2 linked regions of the Alligator mississippiensis genome follow. The main gene of each other region encodes a partner of the protein of the gene in region 2 in a complex. Links are inferred from orthologs where the notes say so. Each region holds a gene or a part of one and is shown on either strand. Other genes may lie near its edges.

The links. The genes of interacting proteins can lie anywhere in the genome.
Region 1: C12H9orf78 (region 2) and PPP1R8 share a complex: the UniProt entries of both Homo sapiens proteins name them as parts of the spliceosome. The link is inferred for Alligator mississippiensis from reciprocal best matches to the Homo sapiens genes C9orf78 and PPP1R8.

What each region holds. Positions count from the first base shown.
Region 1 is NC_081829.1:16,743,294-16,753,614, reverse strand, and holds the start of PPP1R8 (nuclear inhibitor of protein phosphatase 1), read right to left. Parts: upstream 4,992-10,321; 5' UTR 4,885-4,991; coding exon 4,823-4,884; intron 1-4,822. UniProt on the Homo sapiens protein: Inhibitor subunit of the major nuclear protein phosphatase-1 (PP-1). It has RNA-binding activity but does not cleave RNA and may target PP-1 to RNA-associated substrates. May also be involved in pre-mRNA splicing.
Region 2 is NC_081835.1:58,724,089-58,734,490, forward strand, and holds the start of C12H9orf78 (splicing factor C9orf78 homolog), read right to left. Parts: upstream 4,775-10,402; 5' UTR 4,714-4,774; coding exon 4,634-4,713; intron 3,619-4,633; coding exon 3,559-3,618; intron 2,485-3,558; coding exon 2,433-2,484; intron 2,167-2,432; coding exon 2,096-2,166; intron 1,900-2,095; coding exon 1,822-1,899; intron 1,347-1,821; coding exon 1,149-1,346; intron 798-1,148; coding exon 661-797; intron 54-660; coding exon 1-53. UniProt on the Homo sapiens protein: Plays a role in pre-mRNA splicing by promoting usage of the upstream 3'-splice site at alternative NAGNAG splice sites; these are sites featuring alternative acceptor motifs separated by only a few nucleotides. May also modulate exon inclusion events.

The sequences.
Region 1 (10,321 bases), on a different chromosome or scaffold from region 2:
GTGAGTAAGAGCCAGCAGAGTTTATAACAGTAAGTACAGCTCTGTTTAAAAGCATGAGACTACATCTTTACTGTAAATTGAAATTTCAAGTCAAATTAAAAAAATGTCTACCTACTGTCTTTATCCCTTATACCGGTTGGTACATTTAGACATCAATAGCCACAACTGCCTAACACTTTCTATTATAAAAACTCATTCTTAGCTTCTTATAACTGTGCCAAAATGTAAACTTTTGAGCTAAACTATTCTATGCAGGGTGTTTGCTGGAAGCTGAAATTTTAGAACATTAAGTGAAAACAGCTTAGTTATTACCAAGAAATACTAGGGAACAATGTTATATTGTTCCTTTAAAAATACTGCAATGATTTGAGAAGTTTTTACTTGCATGCTCTGCAGATTGGCAAAAATGCTGCTACTGTATCAGGGGTCCACCTTTCTGCTTTTGCAGTGAAAATCTGCCAAGTCTGGATAAATTATAAGTCTGAAAAACTTCAGTTCATTCACAATTAGTAGAAATTTGCAAAAGCATACAGTATTATTCTATGAAGTTTCCGCCTGTGTCAAGTATACTTCCTTCCCATACCACTCCTAGATGCTAGTCAAACCAAGTATGCTCCATATCAAAGTTAGGGGCACATAGGACACTATGGATCCACTGTTAACTACCCAGGGGAACTCTTAACAGAAGATACAAAGAAGGCAGAGCTACATAACAGCTATTTTGCCTCAGTCTTCACAAAAAAATTAAGCTACAGCAAGGCACCTAATAAGGATTATCTGGATAAAGAAGGGGGCCAGTTGAGGGAGGAGATAATATAAGAGACTGTCAGAGAGCTTTTGATGGGTCTGAATGAATTGAAGTCAGCAGGGCCAGATGAACTTCATCCCAGGGTACTGAAGGAACTGGCAGAGGCACTCTCACAGTCCTTGGCAATGCAATGATCTTCATGAAGTTGTGGAAGATGGGTGAGGTACCAGAGCACTGAAAAAGGACCAATGTAGTGCCCCTCTTAAGAAAAAAAAAATAAGGAAAAAGAAACAACAAAAAAGGGAGGACCTGAGATTAGCCTCACCTTAATAGCTGGGAAATTATTGGAGCATATCCTAAGGAAGTTCACTGGAAAGCATCTGGAGGAGGAAAGGCTGATTGCAAGTAGCCAACATGGATTTATAAAAAACTTAAACTCCTTTGGAAAAGTAACTACTTGGGTGGATGAACGGAATACTCTGGATATAGTATATCCGGACTTCAGAAGGCTCTTGACAAGGTCCCCCCACAAGCTTCTTGTAAACAAATTGAAGAAATGTGGGCTACTAGACAAAACTGCTATAAGGTGGACAGAAAACTGGTTCAAAGGCCACAAAATTAACAGGTCCATGTCAGAATAGCAGGAGGCTTTGAGTGGAATCTCACAGGGAGTCTAGTCTGGGCCAGATGCTGTTCAATGTATTTATTAATTATCTGGATACTTGCATATAAAGCTTTTTGAGATTTGTGAACTACATGAAACTGAGAAGGACTGTGAACATGGAAGGTTGTGAGGGCAATTCAGAAGGATCTCAAGAAATTGAAAAGCTGGGCTGAAGCTAACAGAATAAAGTTCAATGCTGACAAGTGCAAGGTACTAGACCTCAGGAAGAATAATCAAAAACACAAATACAAAATAGGTGACACCTGGCTGAATGGCAACACTATGGAAAAGGATCTGGGAGTCTTGGTAGATTACAGACACAGCTGCACAAAAAGCAAATGTGGTTTTGGGATGTATCCACAGAAGAATTAGGTGCAAGATGGGGGAGGTGATGGTGACTCTCTACTCTGCATTGGTTAGGACTCACCTAGAGTACTGTTTGCAGTTCTGGGCTCCACATTTTAACAGGACATGGAGAAGTTGGAAAGGGTCCACAGGCAGGTAAGAAAGATGATAAAGGGCTTGGAAAGCAAATCATATGATGAGAGGCTGAAGGATTTAAGCATGTCCAACTTGCAAAAAAGGATGGGACATGATAGTGGTCTTCAAATACTTGAAGGGCTGCAATTAAGAGGAGGGAGAACACTTTTTCTCTCTTGCTGCAGCATGAGGTATACCAACGGCCTGCAGTTGCAGCAAAATTAGTTTAGATTGGATAGCTAGAAAAAACTTCTTCACTGTTAGAATACTGGGGCAGTGGAATAGACCACGGTTTCCCAACCAGTGTGCTGCAGCTAGTAAAGCAAGCAAAATGCTGCTTGCATCCATAGATGCTTCTCAAGCAAATCCCAGGATATCATTCTCCTATTGTACTTGGCCTTGGTGAGGCCACAGCTGGAGTACTGCATCCAGTTTTGGGCTCCACAATTCAAAAAGGATGTGGAGAACCTTGAGAGAGTGCAGAGGAGAGCCACGCGCATGATCAGAGGTCAGGAAAACAGACCTTATGATGAGAGGCTGAGAGCCATGGGACTCTTCAGCCTGGAAAAGTGCAGGCTCAGGGGTGATCTGACGGCCACCTATAAGTTTATCAGGGGTGTCCACCAGGTTCTGGGGGAATGTCTGTTCACCAGAGCACCCCAAAAGATGACAAGATCGAATGGTCACAAACTCCTCTGCGACCGAGTCAGGCTGGACATAAGGAAGAACTTCTTTACTGTCTGAGCCCCCAAGGTTTGGAATCGACTGCCGCCGGGGGTGGTTCAAGCATCCACTATGAACACCTTCAAGACACATTTGGATGTTTACCTTGCTGGGATCCTATGATCCCTGCTGACTTCCTGCCCCTGGCAGGGGGCTAGACTCGATGATCCTCCGGGGTCCCTTCCAGCCCGAATGTCTATGAAATCTATGAAAAGTGTGTAGTCAGAAATGAACAGGTATGCCGTGGAATTTTGCCATGGTAATGAGCTACAATAGGTATGAGGATGGAGAACGCCTTAACAGGTGTGCTGCAGAAAACGTTTATTAATGTAAGTGTGCCTTGGGCTAGAAAAGGTTCGGAAACACTGGAATAGACTGCCGAGGGAAGCTGTGGACTCTCTATCATTGGAGGTGTTCAAGAAGAGGTTGGATAACCACTGGTTGGAGATGGTCTAGGCATAGCTAGTGGGGTGGGGTGGGCAAAATGATGGAGCTGGCTAACAACTGGACTCCATTTCCCAGCAGCTCCTGCCTGCATGGCTGGGAAACCATGCTCCATGGAGACCCCAGCCATGATAGTACAAGGCAGGGGTTGCCATGAAGACCAGCCCCAGCCATGCTGGCAGGGAGCGCAGCAGGGCAGGGGTTGCTCCAGAGCCAGTGGGATCTTGCGGCAGAAGCAGCTTGGTCAGGGGCCAGGGCAGAGCTGCAATCTGCAGCACGCACAGTCCGGACAGTGGTGTGCAGGCAGCAGATCATGGCTCTGCCCCTGCTCCAGACCACACTGCCACTGCTGCAAGGACCCGGGGCAGAGCCGTGATCTGCAGCCTGCATGTCCCTGTCTGCAGCATGAAAGTTTTCCACCCCGAACAAAACCCTACCAGAAAGCAGTGAGGGAGGTGTCCATTGTTGCTCCTGCTCCTGTTACATTCTGACATGACCTCTCTGTCAGGGCCCAGGGTTTGGGTCCCACTTGCCCACCCCTAGTTATGCTCCTGGGTTGGGTATAGGCTAGAAAGAGAGCATAAGCAAAGGTGAGCAGAGCAAGGACATTCATAGAAAAAAATGCATAACCCTCTCCAGAACATTGAAATGAACCAAGGATCTGGAGCTTCAGTATTTTTCTGCCTGGAAAATAGCTGTGAATCTCACTGACAAAATATGAGAGCTCCATTTAGCATCCGGAAGGTAACAGGTTGCTACAGCTACCAGCTACTTCACCATGTTGTAGAAGTCTGTAGCGTCAAGCTCCCAGCCCTGCTGATGATTCATGTGGGAGTCAGTATCATCTAAGAGATTTTCTTTTTACTTAAAAAAAGAAATAAAGAACATTCAAACTGCAGAGGCAAGTACAGAGCTTAGTGACTGCCAGAAAGGAGGCTGCACGTGGAACTGGACGTCCAACCTCTTGTTTGCAGACTTGATCACACCGGTCTCAATTGCACAGAGGCTTTTCCTTCTGACTGTTAACTGCTACAAAAATGTCATAGACATTACGGCTGGAAGGGGCCTTGCAAGATCACCAGGTCTGTACTCACAAAAATATACTCAAAATGTTTGCGCTCAAGAAAAAAAATTTGAAATACCTCCAAATGAGCACCCAAAGGAGCCAGCAATTCATAATTTAGCCTCAATCTCTTTGTGCTACCTAACTGTTTCACAGGTGGAGAATCACCAATAAAACGCTGAGGGGCACCTACAAATGTGCTCCAGACCTTCAAAAACAATGAGGACGAAGATCAGAGAAAACCCCAGGAGTAAATTACCGAAGTTTTTATCTGGCGCAGGGTGTAAAGGGGGTGCAGGATTATAAAGCACATACAATGAGGGGCGCGGGGGGGAACGGTCAAGTAAACAGTGGTTCAGAAACTACCATCAACCGGCCGCTGAATGAGGCAGGGTCCCGTGGAGGAAAACCACCACAGCTGCAGGCACCGAGCCCTCCTCAAGGAGCAGCCTCGGCCCCGGCCCGCTCCCTGGTGGCCGCCGTACTGGACAGCAGCGCTTCTGGTCATCTCAAACTGGGCTGCTCCTCGCTGCGCCGGGCCCGGGGAGGCGGAGTCCACCTTCCTCCCGGCCTGCAGCTGCAGCCGAGGGAGCTGGGAGCGGGCGCAGGCCCCGCACCGCCGGCCCGGCCCGGCCCGCCCGCCCCGCACGAAACCGCCCCCGGCTCCGCCCGGCGCGGCGCGGCGCGGCGCGGCGCTCACCAGCTCGGGCACTCGAACAGCGACCCGCCGCCGCCGCCACCCGAGTTCGCGTTCGCAGCCATCTTGCGTCTGCCCCATTCAGCGCGCCAGGGCAGGATGGGAAACAGGCGGACCGCCGCCGCCGGGCGCCATCCCAGGATGCATCGTGCGACACGTCAGAGCGAGAGCACGGCTGGGTGGAGGGGGTAGTGCGCATGCGCGGGCGCCGCGCGAAGGGGCGGGGGAAGTCTGCCACGTTACGTCACGGCGCGTCACACCAGTGGCGCGCGGGGGATTCGAAGAGGCTGCGCGTTCGGAGGCCGGCGCGGAGGGGGGGCGGGAAGTGGTAGGAGCAGTACGAGAAGGCCGAGCCGCTCAGCACGTGGGTGAACGGGACGCGCCTCCCCTGCCTGCTACAGCAGTGCCGAAAACAACCTGCAGGCTGGGCCCGTGAGACGTTGCGGGCAGGGGAGCCGCGAGGGGCCCGGCCTCTGTTGTGGCAGCGCAGCCCTGGCCGCTTCCCCACTGTGCCCCCAAAAGCCAAGCAAAATGCCTTCGCTGCCAGGTCTGCACCTCCACCTGCCCCTGTGCCACGGTCTTTGGGGGTGCCGTAAGCGGGTGGGTTGCAGCGTTCAAGCTGACTAACTCTGGACTTGTGAAAAGCCTTTGACAAGGTCATTGAATCTCAGAAAATGACAGTTGCGAGGGACCTCAGTGTCACAACCCAAAGTTGTGATTTTTTGTTTGTGTGTGCTTCGGCACTGCTAAATTATTTTTCCCGCTAAATTGCAGCTTCCTTGCACGGTGGAGTTTTCTGCTGCAGAAGAGAACCCCGGTGCAATGGAGAGCAACAGAGGCCTGAACAGCCTCTATCCTCTCCCCGTCGCCGATAAATTCTTAGACGTATCCCTTCCTGCATATTAAAGATACGAACCCGCGGAACTTCAACAACTCCGGGGCAAGAGAACCGAACCGAACCCACGGAGCTTCGACAACTCCGTGGGAGAGAAATTACCGAACCCGCGGAGCTTTAACAACTCCGGGGCTAGAATGAATTTGTCGTAGTCCTCCAACAAGGATTTAAGCGGAGCTGCACCTGGAAACTGTCCAGCCTACACCGCAACCATCTTGGGTGTAAGTAAATAATCTTTAAATCAACCACTACGCGTCCGTGACTAATTCTAGCTCGCCTCCGGTCTCCTCCGGCCCCGTGTGCCCAGGCTGCTGGCCACAGCCCGCGTGCGCAAAGACGGGCCCAGCTCGCCCCCAGCCCACACACTCAGGAGGCCACATCTCGTCCAACCCCTGCTTGGAGCAGGACCAGCCCCAGCTAGATCATCCCAGCCACTGGCTTTGAATTGCTGGGTTTTAAAAACCTGCAAGGATGGAGATTTCACAGCCTCTGTGGGTAACCTGTTTTTGTGCTTTACTACTGTGCCAGTGAGAAAGTTTTCCCTAATATCTAACCTAAACTTCCCTTGCTGCAACTTGAGCCCATTGCTCCTTGTTCTGTCATCTGCCACCACTGAGAACAGTCCAGCTCCATCCTCTTTGGACCCGCCCTGCAGGTAGCTGAAGGCTGCTATTAAATCCTTGCATCTTATTTTCTCCACACTAAATAAGCCCAGTTCTCTCAGCCTCTCAAGTTGTGGTCACCAGCCCTATAGCCATCTTTGTTGCCCTTTGCTAGGCTTTCAGATTTGTCCTAAATGCTTTCTGTTGGGAGGTTGGGGGACAAAACTGGACATACTACTCCAGATGTGGCCTAAACTAATGCTGAATAGAGGGGAATAATCATTTCCCTGGATCTGGCAATGCTCCTACCAATGCAGCCTAATATACTGTTGTTGTTCTTTGCAACAAGCATTTCACAACAAGAGCTCATATTCAGCTTATTGTCCACTGCAACCCCTAGGTCCTTTCCTGCTGAGCTGCTGCTTGGCCAGCCCATACCAGTGCAAGGCATTGTTCTGTCTTAAGTGCAAGACTTCACACTTGTCCTTAGTGAAACTCATGAGATTGCTTTTGGTTCAGTCCTCCAATTTGTCTAGGTCTTTCTGAATCCTAGCTCTACCCTCAAGTGCTCCTGCTACTCTGGAGGCTAGGGTTAGGATTCAGGGAGACCTGGACCCATCAGAAGCTCTTAATGAAGTCAGGATTACAGGGAATGGCCACTCCTGGATTAGAGATTCGCTTAAAGGAACGGTGGGAAAAAACTTTGATCCTACCCAGTTCACTTTCCCATTCAGCATCCACTCTCTGCTCAGGAAAAGCGGGAGCTGGGCAGGGGTGCGAGGCAGTGGGCGAGCAGTGGCAGCCTTGTCCCAAGCCCTGAGCTGGGAAGGAGGCTCCTGCGGGTGGCGCAGAGGAAGTCCTGGGGCATGGGCAGCTGTTGCGAGGCGTGAAGCTCGCCTGCCCTTGCCCTTGCTCTTGCCCTTGCCCAGCAAAGAGGTGCACAGACGGCAGCCAGGTGGCAGCATGGGCAGGTGCACCTCCAGCACGCTGGATGAAAGTAAGTGCAGGAAGGGATTGGTATCTTCAAATGTTCAGCCTACTTTATTTAAATTTTATAAATATTTAATTTATTTAATAAACATAAAAAGTAAAATGTTTCTTTTTGTTAGAAATTCATCCGTCACTCTTGACAGGCAATTAGCTAGTAGATTAATAATAAGGGATCTGGAAGGGGACACTGAGCAAAGTACACAGGCCAGCAGCCACTGCCCCCTGAATGAGTCAAGGGAGCCTGGAGACATTGACCAGTGAAACTGTGCCCAGAAGAGTGACAGGAAGACAGCCCCACACTTGCCTGGGTTCCCCTGGCCAGTGCCTCTTTCTTGGTTTTATAGATGGCCAGTTTGGCTAGAGCCAGGAGGAGGTTGACCAGGACATCTTGGGGCTTGGTGGAGCCATGGATGGGAAGTGCACAACAAAAAAGGTACAGGGAGAAGTGCAGCCAGAACTACAGCAGGAGGTTTTGGAGGAGACAGAAGGGGGCCTGCAACCTGATGCACTTGAGGTAGACGTGCATCAGGGTCCTCTGTCGGCAAAAGGGGTAGGTGTTAGGAGTGCCTGTAAAGCACACCAGATACATGCCTGTGGTGACGGCTCCATGAAGAAGCCACTAGCTGAGGCCTCTTGGCTCATGGGATCAAGATGGAATAGAGACTTGTCTACCAGGGACTCTCCTCCCTGGCCTTGCCTAGGATGTCCCACCACTTGTTGTTGGGGCAGAACACAAGGACGAGATGATGGACTGTGCAGAGCATGAGTACACAGCTGGCGGCAGCGGGCCATTCAGAGGCAGACTGGCTTGAAATCCCCCAGCTTGCTGAGACAGTGGGGTAGGGAGTGCCATGGGGCCTGCTGATGCAGCAACTTCATGGCCAGGGATCCTGGTTTTCTCTGATAAAAAAAAAATCACAAATTCTGTGATTAAAATGAAATTCCACTATGTATATAGGTATCAGTTGAACACAATGTTTTATTGATATATTTACAATTTTAAAGCAATTTGGAAGCCTACCAGTGTCTCAATCACTATAATAAAATAAATTCTAAATGCCTATAAATTTTGGAGTTGGATTTGAGTTTTTTTATCATAGAAAATCAGAGCTTCTCTTGCCCCGTTTGCTCACCAGAACATGGGTCCAAGTCCCTCCTGCCCCACCCTCCCAGAGGGGACCTCCAACTGCCAGGGCCATAGGGTCAGGGACCTGGATCTGCAGTCCCCTGCCTCTCCCAGCAGTGCCCAAGCCCTGGCTGATGCCTGTGGGAGGTGGTGGCTGCTGCAGCCCAAGCAGGGAGCAGAGTGCAGCTCCCCTTCTCGCCCAGGGGGCACAGCCGGAACGGAGCCTTGGGTGGGGGACAGCTGTAGGCTTGGGCTTAGCCACAGGGGGACCCCAGGTGCCCCCCCAGACCCAGAAGGCACCAGTTGCCTAGCAGGGGGGTGAGGGGTGGTTCCCCCATAAACTCTGCAGCAGACCAGGAAGTGGACTGGAAGTACTTCTGGGCCTGCCCCTGAGCACATTGGAGACCGCCCCCGCCCCCCCATGCTCCCATGGGACGCTCCATCCGCCCCACCATCTCAGCATTCACGAACTGCGCCTGGTACCTTGAGGTATGTAGAAAAAACGTGCGTCTAGGGCCGAATCGTCAAATTTCTCCACATCTCTCTGAATTGAATTGGAGGCTTCTGATTCGATTTGGAGAGATTAACAAGTCTCTAGATTTGATTCGGATTCAGAGATTCGGCTGCTGAATTGGGCCAAATCTCTGAATTGAATCAGCAACCAAAGCTTTGCACATCCCTAATGCCCATATCTCCCTGAGAGTGTGCTCAGTGGCAGGGAGCCAGCCCCACCCCCCTGCCTCCTGGATGAGCCTCCTGCTCCTTGCTGGGGCCCTGCAACTATGCATGGTAGCCTTGGGCCCCAAGCCCCACCTGGTTGGGCAGCATCCCCAGCCCCAGTCCTGCTCAATTCTCCTCCCCCCCACCCCACCATGAGACCTACCTGCAGGGTGCTGCTCTCCAAGCTGCCTGGCGGCCATGTGCATGTACATGCTCATGGTGCCCCCTGCCTGATGTGGTGGGAGAAAACTCCCTAAAGTTCATTATCTAGCTGCAATAGAGACCAGACTATGCGGGTAAAGAACTGACAGTCATTTATTTGCTCCAGCAAAGACCACAAAGCCAGCAAAAGGCAAAATGGCCCCCCCTCAAGGGTGAGGCGATCTTTTATACTTTTTTACAATAAGGCAAGACTACAGGGTTAACAAAAGCAATTCTTGGGCGGTGCTTTATAAGTCTTTGTAACAGCATATTTCTATTAAGCTGAACTAGCACTTTTTAAAAGCTAAAAGTTAAGTAACAGTAACATTATGATAAGTTAGCAAAACCTTGCACAGTAGTAGATACTTCTTAAGGACACGATCACTGTACTTAGAACAATGGCTTCTTTGTCTTATCTTGCTTCTTGCTGTAGCTGATTTTCCAGCACACAGACACAGATCCACTTGCTGCATTTTACTCAGAAAATGCTTAACACCGTTAAAATGATTACTTGACACAAGCAAAGGCTTAGCTATTATTCTGCCTTGTGGTCAGCAGCATTGCTAGGCCACAGGTCATGCCTTGTATTCAGCTGCAAAGCTAATACTTCTTGATAATCCAAATTATTGTTAACCTAACAGTATGCTGCTATCAGAAAACTATTCTATTTCAGGGTAATAACAAACATGCTCACTACACTGACCACCCTCCTCCCACTCCCCCCAGCCTCTTGCATGCTGAAACTGCCAACCTGCAAAAAGCTCTTTGCAACAGTGGAAAATCTATGCATTTCTCTGTTAAAATGAGAAATCTGCATTTTCTCAGGGAAAATCTGTGGGTTTTTTCTGGCATAGTCCAGGAACCCTCCAATACGAGTGATGTTTACCAACACCACCACCTGGGTGGTTTTTTTGCAGGGGCCTGGTGAGGAGGTTAGCACCCTGGGTGACCATCTCTGGGGACCTGGT
Region 2 (10,402 bases):
TTTTGGTTCCTCTTTATTCCTTCTCACAGGTGCATTTAGCTCCTCATGATAAACTAAACGAAAGGAGACAACAAATGGAGAATATTAATTACTGTATACATGGAGTAGTATTATTCAGACAGATGCCCATCTTTTCTCTTATGAATAACCTTCAGCAGAAACACAGCAGAAAGCAGGAATGGTTATCCTGTTCAGTGCTATCACTTCTTGCTGTGGATGCTGGCTGAACGCATCATGACCAGATGCCGCAGCTTTTACTAGCTTGAGATTTTTTCTGGTTCTTCTCCAAAGAAATCAGCCGCCTGGATATGGTTAAATACAACAGGAGTTCACATTTCTTTTAGTACCAGTTGGTCGTGGTATAAGAGCAACTAAGAAATTAATTCTCTTCTCCTGGGTGGCTTCCATCTCACCAATCTGTCAGCTTAGTGACCTACAGCAGGTCTCTATAGACTATAAGCCACCCTTTGCTGCCACAGTAAGATCAGGAATTTTTTTTCATAGATTCAATATGTCACTTAACAGGGGAAATCTAGCAAGCAATAAATAGAGCCCAGTCAACTGGGAGCATGGGTGTAGAAAGTTAAGCCACGAGTAATAGGTTCTACTCGTTTTTACTGATGGTTGGGAAATATCAAGCCGGAGCGATACAACACTCACATCTGTTGTGCTGGACATAGTTCACAGCCATATTTGTAGGAACAAAGGAGGTTTCACTGTCTTTCTTCTTGTTTTGCTGCTCTGCCAACAGCCTCGCCTTGGCCTCCTCAGTCGAGATGATGTTTTTTATTTTTGCGCTGCAGAGAAAAAGCAGTGGAGACTTGATTTTTTTCAGAAGAGGACCATTCTATCCACCTGTCATAGTGCTGGGCACAAATTAATCTTATGGGAAGGTGCTCTATGACGTACCCAGAAACCAAAGTCTCTGATCATCAGTAGCTGTGTTATGGTACTGCCTAGGAGGTCTAGTCATAGCTCAGGACTCCACTGTGCCAGGCAGGGTACAAAAAAGAACGAAGTGGATATCCTTGCCCAAAGAGCACACGCTGACGTTCTGCATGCATCCTCCCACAGGGCCCTAACCAACCAATGTGCACCAATCACCCGGGAAATTCAGGCTGTCAGTAATAGAAGTATGAACTACATACTCGATGCCCAGATCCACTTCAGGAATGCCACTCAGCATTTGATTGGACAGCATCTCTTCAGTCTTCTTGGCTGAGGAAACGCGGATGTTCTCAGGCAGCTCGTACAGGGAGTCCTCGGCATTCTTCAGCTTCACTTTCTGCTCCTCGCTTTCCACAATTCCCTTCCGCTTCTTCAGCTCAGTCTCAATGTACTTCATCCTGTGCCACAGCAATCAGAGAGACAGCTGCAACTTACATTTATTACTCATGCTCCTGTCCATTACCTCTGGCCACAGCTGTGTCACTATGTCACTGGCTGGGAAGAAGATGCAGATAAATCCTCCTCAGCCAGAAGGAGGTACTGGAAATCAGAACAGTTACTTTGTTCAAAAGATAATCAGTTTCTTCCTACAATGTCAAGGCTGTTTCCCCCCAATTGATAGGGATGGTTCCTCCTAGTACATAATGTACACACTGCCAGTGGACCACATGGTTGGCCAGCAAGTGTTGACTTTAATTACAAGTTAATTCCTCCTCAGGCTGGTTTCCCCAGGGTGGGGAAAAAACCCAAGAAGAAACTTCATGGTAAATCGGGAAAATATTCTACAAACACTTAGTTCCTGGGAAAAAAATAGCCTTAAGGCACTTCATTCCTCATGGTGAATCACTACATATAAACACAGCAAATGCCTACATGTCAGCATCTTCGTCCCTCCTGTTGGTTTCTGCTGAGAAAGAGGTTCCCAGGTTGAGATCTTCCTCTTCATTAATCCTAAATATTAACAAGAATATTACGTTACTAAATAATTCACTGACTATAAGCAACCCGACAAACGACTTCATTTAAATTCTTCAAAGCACAATGCTTGAAGCACTTCACCTTCCTTCTTCAATACTGAAAGAGTCCTGCGTGCTGCCAACTCTCTAGCATTAAAGGAAGAGTCATTTCAGACTTCTCAGACACTCACCTGTCTTTCCCTCGTTCTTTCAGCTTTTTCATGTCCACCATCCCACCTGTCTTTATCTTAAAAGGGTCATCCTACAAAAAGCAGAAACAATTCAAAGGCATGAAATATGTCCCTTAATCTATACCAGCCCCAAAGTTACTTTCTGGAAAACCCTCTTCTCTGAGCATCTGGTAAAAATGCCTAAAATTCCCTCCATTAGGCTGCTATATCCTACTAGCCTTTTATGATGGCCAGTTGCTACCCAAAACTAAGTTTTCCAAACGATCTATTGTACAAAGTAGATGCTTTCCCACAGGTATTTATCAGCAGTAAGGTAACAGAAATATTCACAACTTACCACCAATGTTGTCTCTTCTTGCATTTTCTCCCCTACAAGCAAGGCCACAGCACTAGCAAAGCACACAAAAAAGAAAACTAAGATTCACTGAGTGAAAAAACCCTGCTCTTGCATTATCATTCATTATAAATACCACATTAATTTTTTTTAGTATTTTCCAACATCTACTTGAAGGTCTCAAACTGTTTTGCTGATATTCAATATTTAAAACATATATCATCCATCCAATTTAGGGAGCTCTGAGCCCCATTTTCCACACAGAAAAACTGAGGCAAAGCATGATTAACTGACATAAAAGGTCACAAAGCGAGTCAGCGTGAGGAACAGAATTCAACACAGAGCAAACCTTGATTCTCAGTACCCTGGCATAACCTAACAAGCCTCCTTCCTTAGATCACATGGATGATAGCAAGTGAGACTCATTTTAAAGACTAGTTTTCCAATTCCCTGTTTATAATCTATTACACGTGTTACAAAGTGATGTTTAAGACATGAGAAACTGATCCACACATCATAACATATGGTGATATGACACAACTCTGAGAGAGAAATCTGACCAGAAGAATCATGGGGGAGGGCAAATCCACACATTCATTAACACACCATAATTACGGTGCATTAAGTTTAGTACCTCTAATGACAGGTACTAACTTAATGCACCATTTTCAGCTCTACTGTGCATTAGCCCAGATGAACATTTTTTGTGATGTTAATGTGCATTAAACTAAATCTACTCTGCATTAGCACACTTTTTCCATGATGCGATAATGCGCAGTAGAATTAGTCCAATGCGCATTAAGCATCTCAAGTAGATGCACCCATCGTTAACTAACTTTAAGGTCTTTCAGTTTTAAAGTAGGCCCAAACTCTTCATGGTTTTGGGCTGCAGCTCTACAGGGAACCAGTATTCATGAACATGGTTTACATACGACTGCAGCTGTGCCCAGTACCAACTTTTACAGGTCTTTGGACCGTCAAGAGGCCTTCTCCTCTCCCAGGCCCAGTTCTTGGGGCCACAGCGACGTCCTTCAGCGCCGGGGAGTACGGACGACAGGGAGGCCAACTCACAGCCACAAGGAAGTCTCTGACCCAACATGAGCTGGCGTGTGTTTGCTGAGACACTCACCTCACCCCATTGGGCCGCCTCCTCAGGCTCTGCACTTCCTTCGCTTCCTCGAGCTTCAGCCTGAAGGAAAAACGTTACCTTTGTGAGCTGGTTGGGGCTCCTCTGCGCCCACTCCCCAGCGCACAGACCACTCTCACGTCAAGCATTGGAAAAGGGGGGGTTATTGCCCTGTGTAGCCCTCACACTCCTCTGTCGTGTGCCATACTACAAGTTGTATTTATTTTGATACTAAAGTTTCTAGGATTGTGATGGGGGCTTTACAGGATACGGGAGGGAGGGACAGACTGAAAGTCCTTGTTCCTTTTGGAGAAACATCATTTCCTGTAACTCCACGGAACTCTCCCTGACCCCCGCGCGGCCCCTCATCGCTTCTACCCTCAGCTTTTTCTCTGTAAAACAATTGCAGCTGTGCACCATTGACTCTTTTCCAGAGGAAAAATGGAAAATAGCTCACGCTGTTGGGATACAGCTCAGCCCGTGGCACAGTGGGTGCACAGAGGTGCACGTGCACCCCTGACAGGCCGCGCTCCCCGCTTCGGTGACAGGCGGGGAGGCAGGTGCGAGCGCCGGGCGGGCAGCGGGAGCGCTGGATGAAGTGCCGCGGCCACCTCCCGGTCGGTGCAATCAGCGAGATTGGCTGCGGAGGACCCCCGCCCTTGGTCAGCGAGATCGGACACGGGGAATCGGCAGCAGGGGGGACCCCAGTCGCTAACTAGTCGCTGGGGGGGCACGTGCCCCCCCAACTACGGTGGCACCAGCCGCCCGTGCCGTGGCGCACACACAGGGGGGCTCTGCGTGTGCGCCAGCACGTACACAGGCGGCTCCAGCGTTGCCAAATCTGAAACGATCACATTGGGAGCACACGCCGGGAAAGCACGCGAGTCAATCGTCCTGTTCACTTATCCGGGTCACTGCGAGTCCCAGCGAGCGAGGCCGACGCGGAGGCAAGCAGCTCTAGGCCGGCGCTGGCGGCAAACCCCCAGCTCGGCTGAACGCGGGTCTGGCGCCCGCACCCCCGCAAGGACAGTGCCACAGTCCGCTCACACGGCCCCTCCTCCTCTCGCCCCGCACCCACCGGACCTCCTCGGTGACATGCTGGTCCTCCTCGTCCTCCTCGGAGTCCGCGCGCCGCCGGAACACCCGCCCCGCCGGCATCGCGGCCCGGGCCTGCGGCTCGGCTCCCCGGGTGCCCTGCGCTTCCGGCGCGCTGCGATGACGCAGTGGGCGCGATGACTACGCGGTGCGTGCCGAAGCCGCGGGCGTGCCCTTCGTGGCGCGCTGCGCCACTCCGCCCAGGTCTGACTCGCTGTTTCTCGGCTCCTGTCCGGCGCGTCTGCAAGGGCTGCGCAGTCTGCTCCGGCAGCGTCTCCCCTGGCCCGGGCCGAGTCCGTGTGGACGCTGCCCCTTGCTGGGGGTCCACGTGTGGTCCCTCGCAACCGATTGTCCCCTAGGAAAAGATGCTGTCCACGGGGGGTGGCTCCCAAAGGTAGCCACAAGTCACCCCGCATTGGTGCTAGATGAGTAATGCAGCTGCATTCATTGGTGACGTGGCGGGGGGGCACGTGCCCCCCCGAGCGTGGCAGTGCACCCTTGCACGTGCCCGTCGTGTCCCCCAGCCTCCGGCGCACGCGGCATTTGTGCATTTATATTGTAAATAGCAATCATATTGATTGGGAAGCACTTCTTTGGGGTGACTTTGGACGTTTGGAAGGGCTCTGGGTTGGGCTTGTTGTTGGCTGGAGTCTCGGCCGCTTTCTTAAAGAAAGTGTCCGAGGCGGTTGGGGCAGGCGTTGTGCAGGGAGACGGGCGACGCAGCCACTGTGTTCGTGGCGTGGCGTCGGATCGAGTCGAAACAGGTCAGGAAGTCGAAACGGGCGTCAATTTATAAACCTTGTAAATGCCGCCGGGTCGTTGGAGCTCGACACGTCTTAAGTCGAGGACGGCCTGCAATGAAACGCTACATCAGTTACCCTTTACGAAACGTAATAAAAAAACCATAACAATACAATTGTCCGAAAAAGTGAAAGGATTTAGAAGAGTTGAAGCAGAGGCTCGGGGACCTGCTGCCTTGCCCTAGGAGCCCCGTTGCTCCAGGCGTTTAAACTGGATTGGACCCAATAGCAAACATGCTGCAGGGAGCAATCCAGCACCCGCGAGCACAGATCTTTTGTTTGCTCGCGTGATTCTGCGAGTCGGCTTTTCTTTTAAAATTACTCGCGGATTCTCTTAATAAGCGTTTCCAAATTGCATTTTAATGCCGACAAACCAAATTCATCTCTTAAATGAATAAGCGTTTCCAAATCACATTTTGTTAATGCCGACAAACCAAATTCTGCACCCCCATTTATCACGTGACTTCAAACCCACCGTGGATGCCCTGCAGAGAAGCTGCTGCCGTGTTTGGTGTGTTTGTGTGCAACACCCTGGGTTGTTTGCCGGGTGGAAGAATATTTTCCAAGGGATGCGGTGTAGCAATTATGCCGCGTCTGTTAGCCTCTCTCTGACTCGGTTTCGGCATCTGTAGATCAGGGATAATTCCTATCGCACGCAGGAGTTACTGTCAGTAAAAAAAAAATTGTGAGCCTTATGGGAAGGATGCAGTAGCAGCACAGAGCATTAGGTTGTTACCAAATCACCCCATTTTCAAGATTTTATTTTCTCAGCCCAAATGTCCTATATTCAATAAGGAGCAACTTCTGACTTGACTGAGGCCAAAAAGAGCTCTGCTATTGACTCTGATGGAACCTGCATTTGTCCCCAAGTGCTCTGAGGCTGTGAAGTTGGTGGTGTTTATTTGTACATCACAAGTTATTTGTGTCGGCAATCTTGCATTACAGCTAATGGGGGGAAAAGTGTGCATTATGCTGCTGGCTTCTTATGAGCACTTCAACAAGAAGCAAGGAGCAGGTGTTTACAAATATTCCTCACTGAGAACTTCCTGTATAATCTGCAAAGGACGAGTGGCTTGCATTGCTGGACAGATTCTTTTCCCTTCCGGCTTGTATAACAACCTCCTGGCATCAGATGTGATTTTGCAGGGCCAGTAAATGTTGCAGGATGCAGATTTAGCCACTGGATGGGGGACTTTGCTAATTAGTCATCTTGGCTACCAATTGGCTGAGATCCCAATATAGATGTATAGAAACTCCCCCAGTACAGCTTTGGTGCATGGGTGCCGTTATGCCCTGGTTCGTGTAAGTAGATTCTTGAAAACACGTGAAGGATCCGGGCCTGTGCAATGACATTGCAACATGAGATGTCTCCAGATGGGTGCCCACGGGCCTTTATGGTTCGCTCTGCGGATGAGAAATACTAGGTATGATTAATTATTATGTTATCAACATTTTAAGCAACTATCAACCAAGAGCTTGGGAAACAGATTTGGGTTGGGGTTTTTTGGGATGGTCTAGTGCATAACAAAGATCAATAGCCTTCCCCCTGTGCCTGCCCTTTTACACCTTGGAGAGAGCATAGCTTTTAGCACAGAACAGCGACAACAGCCCAGAGGGAGGAAGAGTAAAGCTGAGGTCTGTGTAAGGACAAAGAATAGTTGCTAAAAGGGCTGCCAAGCCGTGGAAATCTCTGCAGCCCTGTCAAAGGCTGGAGCCAGGCTGCAAAACTGCTGCACTTGCATTCTGTACCCGGGCACTAGTATGCGGCATATATTCTCCAGCCTTTGGAAGAAGCAAGGAGCTATATTTCTCCTCCTGTTATTATTTGCATTACAGTGGTAGCTGGAGGCACCAGTCAGGAAGTTGGGATGCGCTGTGCTAGCTCTAGACCACAGGCGTACAGGATGGCCTGAGCATCTTTGCTTTGCAGTAAAGGAGTAACTAGACTGAGCTGTCACGTGGGTGCTGAACGTGCCCTTGGTTCCTGCGTGGTCTGCGCCTCATCCCCTAGACTGGAGTTCGCTAGTTTGAGGATCGTTTCTTCTGGTAAAACAATATGCTGTCAACTCCATCTGTAGTGTTCCCCGTGACTTACTACAGCCGTGTTAACCTCCCTTCACGGTCCGTCCCCATCCTTTCTTAATCAGCCCAGAGCCAGTATGTCAGGTGCTTGCCTTGCCAACGCTCTCCGCTGTCGGGTCGATGCCAGCAGGCTCTGCGGCGCTCTGCGCCCAGCTCCTCGCTGCGTGCAGTGCTGCCCTGCGCGTAGCCATGCCCTGTCCTACCCAGCCTGCTCCTGGGCTCCATTTGGGGGGGACATCTGAGCGGTGGGGACCAAGGTGTGAATGCCCCATGTGGGGTCCAGCTCCGATGCGTGCGGTGACCATCCTCTCTGCAGCCAGCGCTGGTCTGGGGCTCCTGTCTGGACCGCCCCACCCAGCCTGGGCCGCTCTGCTGCGCCTTTCCGTGTCTCCTGGCAGTCCACGCAGGGGTATGGAAACCTCGTGGCCAGGGAGCTGGCCAGCTCCCTTCAGCCCAGCATGCACCATGGGAGCTGCCCCAGGGGACCGCCTGTGCAGCTCGCTGCCAGGGGCGTGGAGGGCCCCCATCCTTTGCCTCTGCATGCCCACTGCCTCCTTCCCCCTCCAGGCCTGGCTCGTCCTTCTCTCCCCTCCCTGGCCCAGCCCCTGGCTCCTCCCATGCCGCCAAGCTGCAGCTCCTAGGCGCTGGCTTCCCTCCTCCCTCCGGCAGCAGGTAACTGGCCTCCCTCCCTGCCCCTCCATGCTGCTTCTGGGGCTGAGCCCCTTCCCTGGCCGCGGTGCTGGCCTCCCCATCCCCTTCCCCAGGCGGAGCAGGCACGCTGGGGCCTAGCCAAGGGACCGAAGCCCCGGCCTTTCGTAGCCGGCCACCCAGGGAGCTGGTGGGGGGCATCCCTCCTTCCAGGGCCAGCCGCCCTGTGGCTCCAGGGAGCAGCCAGGCAGCCAAGCCTGGGGGTCGGCTTCAGAGGGGCTGGGGAGGGAGCTGCTCTCGGTGCCCGCCGTGCTCCTCCAGGCACCCCGCAATTAAGCACAGGGTGTCGGTGACTTGTCAAAGCCACGTCCCTGCCTGGCGCAGGGGGAGAGGCGGTGGGGAGACGCCCCCTGCCTGGGATGGGGAGGCCGGGGTCTCTGGAGCGGCTGCGTGACTCCAGACAGGACTGACCTCGCTGGGGTAGGGGGCCCAGAGGCTTGCTCTGGTTGTTTGGGGGGGGTCCGCATGCTGCAGGGGGTAGGGTCTCCAGGGTGTGCAGCCCACGGGGCCCCCTGTGTGACGGCGCCGCGTTCCCTGAAGGGGGGAGGCAGGAGAGGCATCACGGCGGGGTTGCAGAGGTTTGGGGGCTTGCTACTACTTGGGGATGAGGCACAAGGGTGGGGTCAGGATGTCGTCTCCGCTGGAGGTGCAGATCGGGGGAGTTTGATGACAAGGGGTTGCTTTTGCATTCTCCACTGTCCCGTGGGAAGGGTGTGTCCGTGTCATCGGGTGCGAAGGGTCTTGGGGTGACAAAGCAGTTACCCCCACTCTGAAAACCAGCCTGGGAGCCCTGCGCGGTCGCTACCTTGGCACAGGTATGATGCAGCCCCGGTTTCCTCAATTCTTGAGATTCCAGAGCTGCCAGAAGAAAGCCCCGGGACCCGAGCATTTCCAGCACATGTAGGATTCCCCCCCAAAACCCTGGTGCCTCCAGCAGTTAATTGTGTTGTTGATCTTTCCAATCTTGGCGCTTAGCACTGTGATCTTTGCTCTGAGCTGAGTCCCTTGGCAAGATAATAGGCTTTTATCTTAAAAGGTATATTAAGAACCACATTCATTAAATATTGCTGATCAGTAAGTGGGAAACAAGAACACAGAAGCAGCCAGCTTGAAAGCTCAGCCTGTGAAGCAGGGGGTGGGGGGATGATGCAGCACCAGCTGTTGGGAAAATGATGAGTAATGCTTGCTGCTTCCACCAGGAAAGGCAACCGATTGCTTGGCTGGAACCACGCTGCCTGGGGTTTGCTACCGCTGGTATTTCGGTGCTTGGTGGTCCTTACATGCTGATGAACTCCTTCTCTGTCTTATTTAGCAGAAATCCAGGAACTTGCATCCTCTCCTAAGCAACGATGAGCACCTGTGTCTAAGTGATGTCCTTTGATAATTATTATGGCATAATTGTTGAAGAAAGAACTGCGCTGGCCTCAAAGTACAGGTATCAGAGTTTGTTCGGGGGGGGGGGGTGTTTCCTGCATGTGTTGTATCTACTGATTCAGCCTCTCTTCCAGTTGTGCACAGGATCACAAGCTAACCTTTCTCATGGCTAAAATTCTAGCTTATTTTTTAAGGCTATATAACCAGGAGATGAGAGTAGCTTTTCTGGGCCTATTATATGGAAAGAGTTGCATTTCTGGGGAGCAGATTAAATGCCTAACGCCCCTGCAAGCCTGAGAGCTAAATGTGTGCCATTTCCAGTGACTTCAAAAAATAAATCCGTGCTAAAAATGCTGCTTCCTTTATTTGTCCAGTTTGAGCTGTTCTCTGGCCATAGGACTGGAAGCTAAAGAACAGCTGGGTTCTGATTTTGTTTCATCTCGGAAATTGATTTTTTTTAACGTTGCCGTGAGAATTTCACTGAATATTTCTGGTGTCTATTTCCCCATCTATAAAATGCAGATGGGTACATCTCCGCAGTATTATCATCTTGTGGGTAACGTGAGGATTAACTAGTTAGTTCTTGTAACTTGTTTTCCAGATGAAACAGGCCAAGTTTTTTTTTCACAGATTTTTTTTTCCCAGGCAGACGCTTGTTGCATAAGACATACTAGGTTAATTTGTGCAAAAGTGTTTGCAATCTGAGCCTGGTTTTGGCATAGATGCTATCAGCACATTGTTGGTTTTTAGCAAGAGGACAGAAATATGTTGTTGGGTGGGATCAACCA